3 linked regions of the Sus scrofa genome follow. The protein of the gene in region 1 interacts with the protein of each later gene in a pairwise test. Links are inferred from orthologs where the notes say so. Each region holds a gene or a part of one and is shown on either strand. Other genes may lie near its edges.

Region 1 (3,749 bases):
ATTTATAACCCTACTTGAGTGAAGTTTTTACTTGCAAAAGCACTATCTCATTTATCATTACATCATTTGGTTCTCATTTAGCTCAAAAGAAGCAACTTTATTGCACATTTAGACATAGAGGAAATTAGGCTCCAGATTTTGGATTTGCCTAAGGAATGTGAGCTAGAAAGAAACTGGAATGCAGTATTCCAATTCCAGTTGTAATCCTTCTCTACCCTCCACTCTGTTCTGCACATGGTAAAGCAGTACATTGAAAGGATTAAAAAAGAGATTTTAGAATCAGGGAGAACTGGGTTCAGCTCCTGCCTGGCATTGCCAGGCTGTGCCTGTGGGCAAGCTATTCTCCTCTTCCAGCCCCCTTTGTGAATTAAATTAAAAATAACTATCCGCCCCACCCACCCCAGCACACACACCACCAGGCGACTGTGGGAAGGATGAAATGGAATAATGCATGAAAAGCACATAGCAGAATGTTTCATAAATGTTAGCCATTGTTAAGTTATTATGTAATCTAGAAAATATGTTTGGTTACACTGAGTGAAACACTTTCAGTTCTTCAAAGACACTACTAATACATGTAAAAATCAAACCCTGAAAATTAATTTCTTTTTAACAGTGAAGTCACATGCCAGATGCAAAGGCTAATATTTCATGGAAAATGACCTCGTCTGAAGCTTGGTCTGACTTTTTTAAGAAAAAATACCTTTTCCTTTCTGTGGTTTCAAACCTTTTTTTTTTTTTTTTTTTTTTTTTTTTTTTGTCATTTTGCCATTTCTTGGGCTGCACCTGCGGCATATGGAGGTTCCCAGGTTAGGGGTCTAATCGGAGCTGTAGCTGCCAGCCTACACCAGAGCCACAGCAACGCTGGATCTGAGCCACATCTGCGACCCACACCACAGCTCATGGCAACACCGGATCGTTAACCCACTGAGCAAGGCCAGGGATGGAACCCGCGACCTCATGGTTCCTAGTCGGATTCGTTAACCACTGCGCCACGACGGGAACGCCTCAAAACATTTTTAATGTTACACATTCTTAGTAATGTGAACCATAATAAATTGCCATGTTTTAGAAGCAGAGATTATAGAATAGCAGCAATTTCATATGGCTCGGATCACCAAACTACCCAGCAGATGATTTTTCTAGTTGCCCAGGCATGAATGAAGTAGAGCTTCAAAGAAAAATTATTCTATTTTCAGTACATTTTCACTTGAACAGATAATGAAGGAGTGATGCCACACTCACTAGAATTAAAATTAAAGCATACAACTTTCTCTTTCTGTCCCCAAACACACGCATGGATAGCCCAGGTCTGAATGAAATCCCAAGCGTAAAAGCCTGTCTCAGTGCCTGCAGATTCCCAAGGAGAGCACCGAAAGTCCTTGACAGCGAGCGAGCTGAGGAAATGGGCAGCTGCTGAAGTCACCTCCTGAGGTCTCGCCAAATGTTTGAAAGGGAATATGCGAAATGTCCGCATGCTGGGGAGGAAAGGACGGAGATCCAGGGTGCCGGAGAAGGGTTTGTAGAACATGGGTGGGGACGTCCTTGGCTGTGACTCCCGGCTTGCCTCCACGTGGCCCTTAGTGTGTTGTTTACTTCTTTTCGTGTGTGCCTATGACTTTGTGGTTCTGGGTGCTGCTGGGTTTGTTCCTGACCACGTCTCTGCGTTAGTTAAGGTTGACTTTGCGCCGATTTGCTTGTGTGTGTGTGTGTGTCCGTGCGCGCACGCGCGTGTGCTTGTCGGTGTGCTGGATGGGTGTGTCTGCGTGTCGGTGGCTGTGGCTCCGTCTAAGTCCGTGCACGTCTGCCAGGTGAATTGTGCCTGTCCGTGCGTGTCCTGGCGGGCACTCTCATTCTCGTCTATTTCCGAATAGGAGGGAGTGCCTGCGCACTACCCTCTGCCCAGGGTCCTCAGGCCTCACGACAAGCCCGGGCAGGCAGGTAGCAGCCACAGAAGACTGCGCAGCTCCCAGCTCGCTGGTAAGCGGCACCCCCCAACTTCAGCTTCAGCCCTGGGGCCAGCCTGGGTAGCCTGGAGGGAGTGGCGACCGGCCGGCAGGGAGCAGCGGGGCCCCGCCCGGGCCAGCCCCAGGAGGAGGCGGGAGAGGGAGGGAAGGGGCGGGGGGGGGGGGGGGGGCCTCGCCCCTTTGGGGCTTCCCGCGCGCCATTGGTCCCAAGTTGGAGCACGTCACGGGGAGGGCAGTTCCCCTCAAGTCCTGTGCACATAACGGGCAGCGCGCACTCCGAGGCGGCTTCTCCGGAGCGCAGGCAGAGACCCGCCGGCACTGCGAGCCTCGAGCACCCCGGGAGCTGAGTGCACCACGCGCCCCCTCCACACCCACCCCACGGCCGCTGAATGAGGCTTCTAGGCGCCCGCTCGCTGCCCGCAGCCCCCCGCCGGAGGTCGGCCCGCTGAGGCGCGGCGGGTGCGCCGGCTGCCAGCGCGCTCACCTGCCCGCCTGCGCGCCATGGGGCAGCCCGGGAACCGCAGCGTCTTCTTGCTGGCGCCCAACGGAAGCCATGCGCCGGACCAGGACGTCCCACAGGAGCGGAACGAGGCATGGGTGGTGGGCATGGCCATCGTCATGTCGCTCATTGTCCTGGCCATCGTGTTTGGAAACGTGCTGGTCATCACAGCCATCGCCAAGTTCGAGCGTCTCCAGACGGTCACCAACTACTTCATCACCTCCCTGGCCTGTGCTGACTTGGTCATGGGCCTGGCGGTGGTGCCCTTTGGGGCCAGCCACATCCTCATGAAAATGTGGACTTTCGGCAGTTTCTGGTGCGAGTTTTGGATTTCCATTGACGTGCTGTGCGTCACGGCCAGCATTGAGACCCTGTGCGTGATCGCCGTGGATCGCTACCTTGCCATCACGTCCCCCTTCAAGTACCAGTGCCTGCTGACCAAGAACAAGGCCCGGGTGGTCATTCTGATGGTGTGGGTCGTGTCGGGCCTTATCTCCTTCTTACCCATTAAGATGCACTGGTACCAGGCCACCCACCGGGAAGCCTTAAACTGCTATGCAGAGGAGGCCTGCTGCGACTTCTTCACCAACCAGCCTTACGCCATCGCCTCTTCCATCGTGTCCTTCTACCTGCCCCTGGTAGTCATGGTCTTCGTCTACTCCAGGGTCTTTCAAGTAGCCAGAAGGCAGCTCCAGAAGATCGACAAGTCTGAGGGCCGCTTCCACGCCCAGAACCTCAGCCAAGCGGAGCAGGATGGGCGGAGCGGGCCGGGACATCGGAGGTCCTCCAAGTTCTGCTTGAAGGAACACAAAGCCCTCAAGACGCTAGGGATCATCATGGGGACGTTCACCCTGTGCTGGCTGCCCTTCTTCATCGTCAACATTGTGCACGGGATCCATGACAACCTCATCCCCAAGGAAGTTTACATCCTGCTAAACTGGGTGGGCTACGTCAACTCGGCGTTCAACCCCCTCATCTACTGCCGGAGTCCAGATTTCAGGATGGCCTTCCAGGAGCTTCTGTGCCTGCACAGGTCTTCCCTGAAGGCCTATGGGAACGGCTGCTCCAGCAACAGCAACGGTAGGACTGACTACACAGGGGAACAGAGTGGCTGTTACCTGGGGGAGGAGAAAGACAGCGAACGGCTGTGTGAGGAGCCCCCAGGCCCGGAAGGCTGTGCACACCGGCAAGGTACTGTGCCCGATGATAGCACTGATTCACAGGGGAGGAACTGTAGTACAAATGACTCCATGCTGTGATGCAGGTGTCTACTTTCTAAGCGC
Region 2 (3,649 bases), on another chromosome or scaffold:
ATGTTTTAAACAGTGTTAATTTAAGCAAACTTTAGTTTTAAACTAAGTTGTTGGCGACAACTTGTGCTTTAGGACGCAGCTCTCTCCAGAGGGCTCATGCACTCTGTGTTCAGCCTTAGAGTTGAGCACAGCAGAGACGCTCCTGTTGAGTTAGTGGTCCTTTGCACATTTACTCTAAGGAGTTAATCATCAGAATTTATGACCTTCTGTTGTCGACTTAGAAAAGTGTGGTTAGTACCCAAAGCAGATAGACACACAGTAGCTGTCCTAGTTGTTGATGCCTTCTCACAGTCAGTCACAGGTAGCAAGTCTTAAACTTGGTGATGTTGACTCAGTGTTTCTTATGCGAAGTGCCCCATCCCACTCTCACTCACCTCCCCATACCCTCCAAAAGAAGTAGGCGTTTAGTTTAAGGTAAAAATACCATACCTCTTTGAGGATCGGGGTCTTTTTAGGTATTCTGTTCTTGGGCATTTAATTTAGTCTTTTTAAAAACAGTTGGAAAGGGTATATTATTATGTTGTTGATTTCTTTAGGTTTTTTAGGACTTCGATACTGAATGTGTAGCCAAGATGATTAAAGTTCTTGGTCATCTTATAGGGTAAGAAATGTGCCAGCTTTAGAAGTATAGTGGTTGAGTCTGTTTTTATTTTTATAATTTAAAGAAGTCATTTTTTTGTGTGTGATTTGAACTTATTTATATATTTGAATCGTCATTAGAATATGGCCTCCTTTGGGGAAATATCTCTCTGATTTGGATCATATGTTGAGTAACCTAGGAGTCCAAAAAGACCCTTTTATTTTAGAGTAAAAGGAGGTACTATTAATAATTATTCCTGGACAACACTACCTTTAGGCACTAAAATGTGGGGTCTCCCTCATCCTGGGGAAGAGCAGCTCTTTGACTAGATGTTAATGGCCCACAGACGTCAGTTGAGTTTGTTCAGTGCTGCTCCTGAGAGCCATTCAGCACATTGCCTGGGCTGTTGATAGCTGGGCAAAGATGATACCAAAGCGTTGACTATCTGATATTTTACAGAGTTCTCTGAATTATTAGTCCTTTTCAGTTATTATCAACTCTGTATTGTGAAATCTAATGTCCAATTACTGGTGGTATTTTTTCAAGATTGAGTGTGGTTTTAACTAACTTTTTATTTATGATTTATCTACCTGTTCACTTCTTTAGGTTGAAATAAATATTTTTGAGTTTATTTTAGGCCACCAATTCTACTTGACATTTTCTAAAAATTTTTTTTTTATTAAAGTATGGTTGACTTACAGTGTACATTTTCCAAGTTTTAAATGCCCTCCATTTAACATCTACTAATTACATACTTTCTAGAAAAAACTGATTTTTCTTAATGAAGACTGAAGGACTGTCAAGAATAGGAAATTTCAGGGTCCCATGTATAGAGACTTTTTATGATTAAATGTACGTTATTTTCTATTGCCACAAAGAGCAGATTTGGGCCAGTGCAGTATTACGTAAGATGGAATTCTCTTAGTTATGTGCAGTGATATGAATATCAGTAAGTATTATTTCAGAGTCTGTTCCAACCTTTTTGTATAATATTTTTTGTGTATTAAAGGAATTTTAGAAGATAAGAAAACTGTGGAGATAATAATGGTATTCTAGTATGTAATATGTATCTCTATTGATCCTGGGAGGTAGGTAGTGGGGAGGGGGGGTGTGTTGGGAGGATGTGTTGGGAGACATTTATAAATCATTTTGATTTTTGAACCCTTGAGAAAATTGATTTAACTTCAAAATTGTTCAGGTTGAGTGTTATCAAAGGTAAGAAAATATGAAATGCTTGTTTTTCAGGTATTGGCAAGTATTGATTAGTAACGAAAATTAAGAGCCACACAGAAGGTATTCATTTTAGGACAAAATGAGGCTTGCATAAGTTTTAATACCTTTTTAAAAATATACGTTTAGGTAGTGAACATAATGCAAGTTGATCATAGCTGATTTTGTTTGGGAAATATTATATAAAACTCAGAATGTACTTTTGCTTTATTTAACATAGCTATTATGTATTATTTCTTAAGCGTGATGCATTTTTGTAGACTCCCATGAATGTTTTGGAGCCTAATGATCTCTGTGTTAGTCGTTCCCAGTCCCACGCAGGAGGAGTCAGAGTCTGGTGTGAACCTGAGCCTTGTCTCCCCTGCTCTCAGGGTACCGCCCCGCCGGGGACTGCTCTGGCTGCCACTCCACTGAGCACCACCACCAGCACAGTCGCAGCACCTGCCAGTTATAGCACGAAGAGTGAGCCCAGGGGACTCAGTGTGTTCAAACAGGAGAAGCAGAAGGTTTGTTCTAGGGAGCTAACAGATTCAGGGGTCTACTAGTGTTACTGGTCATGTTAATGGAGTCGCCTGACACGAACGTGGTATTTATTAACTGTGTTATGTGAAGTAATTCGAATTGAAATTTTCAACTATGTTTAAAATTATAGTAGAACAAATCATTTGAAAATTCAGGCCTACAGGCTAAATTCTGTTCTAAAATAATTTAACACTAAAATCTCAGTAGTGAGCAGGATGTGTGAACATTATTATGAAATTGGTATAATCTTTCCTGTCACTGAGATCCGGGGAGCTTAGTCTAAAAAAGACTTGGGTAGAGCAGCAGTAAAGGTCGGAGCTGGCTGGCAAATACTGTTCTCCAGGCAAGTATTTGTGTTTGTGTTAAAAAGATAAATGAGATTACTGCTTATGTTTTCTTACCAAGTACAAATAATAGGAAGCCTTCTTTAACTGTCACTTTAGTTATTTGCAATGCCCCAGGGTAGGAGAATTTGTGGCAAAAGCCCTAAAGATCTTAGGTCACATTTGAATTTATTAATGTTTTTGTGTGTGTACACTTAACATTCACTCAAGTGAAATGACTGCAGTCACAGTAAGATGACTGTGACTTTTTGGTGGTGTCATGGTCGTTGCGATTCCGTTATCATTTCTTGCTTACTGGGAGCTTCAGGAACCCCACAGTTTGAGCAGGTTGCTTATACTTTGATTTGGCTTTGCAGAGAATATGCATACTAAGGCTTTAAAAAATCTGATCCTTTTTCTAAATATCTAATACTTTAAAAATTTTGTGATTTTAGTTATTTACTTCTGGGAATCATGATTCTAGAGACAAAGAGTAAGTGGGTTGTTTAGAGTAAAAATGTATCTTGAGTGACTTTATTATTCAAATACAACCTCTTCCCACGTTAAGGACTTATTTGAGCCTCCTGACAATTTCCTACCATAGCTCTTGGCTTTGCTTCCCTGGACAGACATTTGATCCCTTGCTCATACAGGAGTCACGAGAATGTACCCCAGGTTTATATTCTTTTGTTCCTTTGTTCCTCCCAAGGTTTCATTGCAAAACCCTACTTTGCCTTATATTTTACCTTTTCCTTTCTGTCTAGTCCCTAAGCCCTTGCATATTCTAGTTATCTCCAAAAGGAATAACTTAGAATATTGGAACTGAAATTCTGGAGATGGCTGGGAAAAAAAAAAAAAACAGAGAAGTAAGTTCAACTCATAGATGGAGGGGGATTATTGCAGATAGGCTAAATAATATAGAATAGCGGAAATTGTACAAAATAATCATTTTTTTTACGACCTTGATCTTCAGTTTCTTCTAGTTGCAGTTTTA
Region 3 (3,749 bases), on another chromosome or scaffold:
ATGACACTCTCCCCATCTCAGGATCTTTAACTGAATCTCATCTCCAAAGTCCCATTTGCCATGTAAAGAAACATTTTCACAGGTATTAGGCATTCGCATGTGAACATCTTTTGGAAGGCCATTTATTCTGCTATCACAATCCACATTATTTCTCGTTGCATTTTCTCCTGTCTCTCTAGATGTTCCCTTTTGTTCAAAATGTGTTTATTTCTTCCTCTATCACTTACTCTCGCTTAATCAATTGATCCGATACTTGTTGTATTAGCTATTCCCTGAAAGCTGTGGCAGGAGTGTGGGGTTTTACAGTATGAAGGGTGGACAGGCCTGGTCAGCCATACTGGAAGTTCTGTTCAAGTTAATGTCCCCCTACCTGTCACTTCCCACTACTTCATCCAGCAAAACTACTTTCCTTGTGCTCTGAGCAGTCCTAAAGTAAAGTAACCCCTGACAGGATGCCTCCTGACTCAGTGTTGCTCAGCTGATGGTGTATCCTGAGCATCCTCACTGTGTCCCACTCCCGGAAGTGTTCATTATTTTATGATAAGAAGCCTCTGAGCTTCCTCCCCCCCCCCCTCCTCACCTCTCGGAAAATGAAGGAGGTGAGCCCTCCACCTCACCACTCCCTCCGTACCCAGGCCTGGGCACGCACAGAGGCCACAAAGGATCTGAAGCGAACGCATGAGCCTCTCCCCCTCTTCCCGCAACCGGGCTCTGGGACCGGTCGGGCGGGTTCCGACAGCTGGGGAATTAACATGTCCCGCCCATCCCAAGCCTTGAGCCGCGCAGGCTCCGCGCCTCCGCCCTTGTTCCCTCGCGGCTTCCAGCTCCTACGAGTGAGAGCCGCTACAAAAGGCCTGAATGAAACGCATGTGGGTTTAGTGAGTCGTAAGCCACCAGGGGATCCCGTCTCCCTACAAACCAGCATCTCTTGCAGGAGGCAGAGGAGGGGGAGGCGGCAAGGAGGGGAGCTCTCGGCTTCGCCGGCGCGCGCAGCGGCTGGAGCGGCGGGGAGAGGCCGGGCCACCTCCCCCTTCCCGGCCATGCACCGCCTCGCCCGCGGCGGTTCCAGGCACCACACTCTCCGCCCGGGCTGCGCCCGCTGTCGCCGCAACAAGCTCCTGCGGCTGCCGGCACCGTACATCGAGGATCAGCGCCAGCCCTCTCCGCCCCACCCCCATCACCGATTCCCTGCTCTTCGGGGACGCGCCGCCCAGCAGCCCGCGCCGCCCCCTGGTCAACTTTGAAGGAGAGGAGAAACAACTTTGGCAGTGGCCGCGGGTTTCGAATCCCGTTTCTTCTCGGCCTCAGTAGCCTCGGGAGTCGCAGGGGTTAGGTGGGGCAAGAGTTTCCTGGGCGCATCTGCGCGGCATCTGGCTGTTTGCAACCTGTTTCCAGCGAGCGGGAGCGGGATTGTGCCTACTAGTCATCTGAAGGATGGGAACTTGTTTTTCTTTCCCTTGAGCGACCGCGGCTTGCAGCTGGAGAACGCAGTAACCAAAGGACATAAATAGGCAGAGCAACTGTTACCAAGAAGGCTACCACCCCAAGGCAGGGAGAAGCGTGGGGCTTCGTCCGGGCTGTACCCAGTTGCTACATTAATCAACAATCAGGTGTTGTTGGTTGCAAGTTTTCAAGGTCAGCCACCGGGTACAGCGAATCCCTCTCTGAACCTTGGAGATACGCAGCGCTCGGGGTAGATGTGGCTGAGAAATGCACGGATGCCAAACGACCAAGGCTTGTAGAGGGGGAGGGTTGTGACCCCCCCAAGCCCCATCCCCCAACCGCCCGGTAATCTCCGGTTCCTCGCTGCCGGGGCGGGGGTAGTATGTGACATGTGTCTAACTCTCAGCTGCAACTTGGGCAGCAGGTGTCGGTCCTAAGCAGGAGCCACCGCCGCCGGGTGCGCCCTCGCCCAGCCATGCGGGCCCCCGGCGCACCTCTCGCCCGCACCTCGCGACTGCTGCTTCTGCTTTTGCTCGAGGTTTCTGCTTCTCCTGCCCTCGGGTCCGCCCCTGCGCCCAGGAACGAACATTTTCTGGGGGAAAGCGGTTCATCTACACGGATCCAGCGTCGCAGCAGGGACGCCTGGGGACCGGGAAATTCGGCAGGAGACCTTCTGCCAACCGGTGCGCCCATGGAGAAGGAGCAGGCGGCAGCGGTGCTCTCAGCGCCCTCGTGGGACCTACTGGAGGCCAGGCGCAGTGACCCAGGTGCGGGCAGAGGGGCGGGGGCGGCGGCGGCGGAGCCCTCGGGACCTCCCGGCAGGCCACCTGGCGCCTGGAGGTGGAAAGGTGCCCGAAGTCAGGAGCCCCCTGAAACTTTGGGGAGAGGGAACCCCAGGGCTCTCCAACTCTTCCCTCACACCGCAGAGGAGAAGGATAAGGGTCCCAGAAGCGCTGGCATTTCCGGGCGCAGCCAGGAGCAAGGTGTGAGGACAGAACCCGGAGCCGGCGACCTTTATTACTGGCCAAGGAGAACCGGGAAACTCCAGGGTTCCCACCACGACCCCCAACCCAAGATGGTCAATGGACCATCATGGCACGAAGGGCGGACAATTGCACCTCCCGGCAGGGCGCTGGCTCAGAATGGGTCCTCGCTTGAAGGAGTTCACGAACGCGGGGGTCCCCGCCGGGGCAACAGCACAAATCCGCGCTTGCAACTGAAGAACCCGTTCTACCCGCTGACCCAGGAGTCCTACGGAGCCTATGCGGTCATGTGTTTGTCGGTGGTGATCTTCGGGACTGGCATCATTGGCAACCTTGCGGTGATGTGCATCGTGTGTCACAACTACTACATGCGGAGCATCTCCAACTCTCTCTTGGCCAACCTGGCTTTCTGGGACTTTCTCATCATCTTCTTCTGCCTTCCGCTCGTCATCTTTCATGAGCTGACCAAGAAGTGGCTGCTGGAGGACTTCTCCTGCAAGATCGTGCCCTATATAGAGGTATGCCTTCCCGGGGGTCTCAAGCTACTGGCTTTATTCCTTTCTGGGATTTACAGCATCAAAACTGCTGCTCCAGGCACCTACCTGCCTGCTGAACCTCTTCACTTTTTCTCTGAGCCCCTCCCCTATTTCTCTTGCCAATCATTTATACACATTTTGGCATTTATATCCTGGGCACAGGGGTGGACCCAAGCAGTTTGGCCACTCACCTTCAAACTCACCTACTCCTGAATTGTGAAATAATTATGAACTCGTAATATATGGGATTGCTTAGGTTTTAAATTGATCTCTCTAAATATGGTTTTGTATATTTATGATTTGGAATCTGTTGGAGATTCTAGGGTTAATAAGTAGTCCGTCCATGATTGTCATTACTAGAAAAAAAAATGTGTATTATTTGTCTGCTAGGTTTCTAGTGCTCCAACAGGATTTCTTCCCCAAGAAGATTATTACATTTTTTCTTAAATATCAAAATTGGAGTAATATTTTATTTAACAGAGGATATCTGCTTTTCTTTGTTTGGCACTTGACCTCAATATATTAGTAACATCCCAAATTAGTTTAAGCGTCTTTGGCTGTCTGCCATGCCACGCCATCTAAATTCTTATGTCGTTTCTATTTCTCTTTTTTATCCCCTTCTCAATTTTGTAAGAATTTTATATACTTTGTATGAATGGGCCTAAGCAAAAATAACACTTTGTACATCATGGCACAGAATTTATTTAACATTTTCAGAGTATATAGTATATATTTGTCATTTGTTAGGGTACAAGGGGTTGGCTATTTTAAGAGGTTGACTCTAGGA

Evidence for each region.
Region 2: the proteins of ADRB2 (region 1) and VAPA interact in a protein complementation assay, tested with the Homo sapiens proteins (2 studies listed by BioGRID and IntAct, with this or other methods). The link is inferred for Sus scrofa from reciprocal best matches to the Homo sapiens genes ADRB2 and VAPA.
Region 3: the proteins of ADRB2 (region 1) and GPR37 interact in a protein complementation assay, tested with the Homo sapiens proteins (2 studies listed by BioGRID and IntAct, with this or other methods). The link is inferred for Sus scrofa from reciprocal best matches to the Homo sapiens genes ADRB2 and GPR37.

What each region holds. Positions count from the first base shown.
Region 1 is NC_010444.4:150,031,328-150,035,076, forward strand, and holds the start of ADRB2 (beta-2 adrenergic receptor), read left to right. Parts: upstream 1-1,321; 5' UTR 1,322-1,980; intron 1,981-2,235; 5' UTR 2,236-2,468; coding exon 2,469-3,725; 3' UTR 3,726-3,749. UniProt on the Homo sapiens protein: Beta-adrenergic receptors mediate the catecholamine-induced activation of adenylate cyclase through the action of G proteins. The beta-2-adrenergic receptor binds epinephrine with an approximately 30-fold greater affinity than it does norepinephrine.
Region 2 is NC_010448.4:98,219,672-98,223,320, reverse strand, and holds part of VAPA (vesicle-associated membrane protein-associated protein A), read left to right. Parts: intron 1-2,181; coding exon 2,182-2,316; intron 2,317-3,649. UniProt on the Homo sapiens protein: Endoplasmic reticulum (ER)-anchored protein that mediates the formation of contact sites between the ER and endosomes via interaction with FFAT motif-containing proteins such as STARD3 or WDR44.
Region 3 is NC_010460.4:23,018,673-23,022,421, forward strand, and holds the start of GPR37 (prosaposin receptor GPR37), read left to right. Parts: upstream 1-1,079; 5' UTR 1,080-1,918; coding exon 1,919-2,944; intron 2,945-3,749.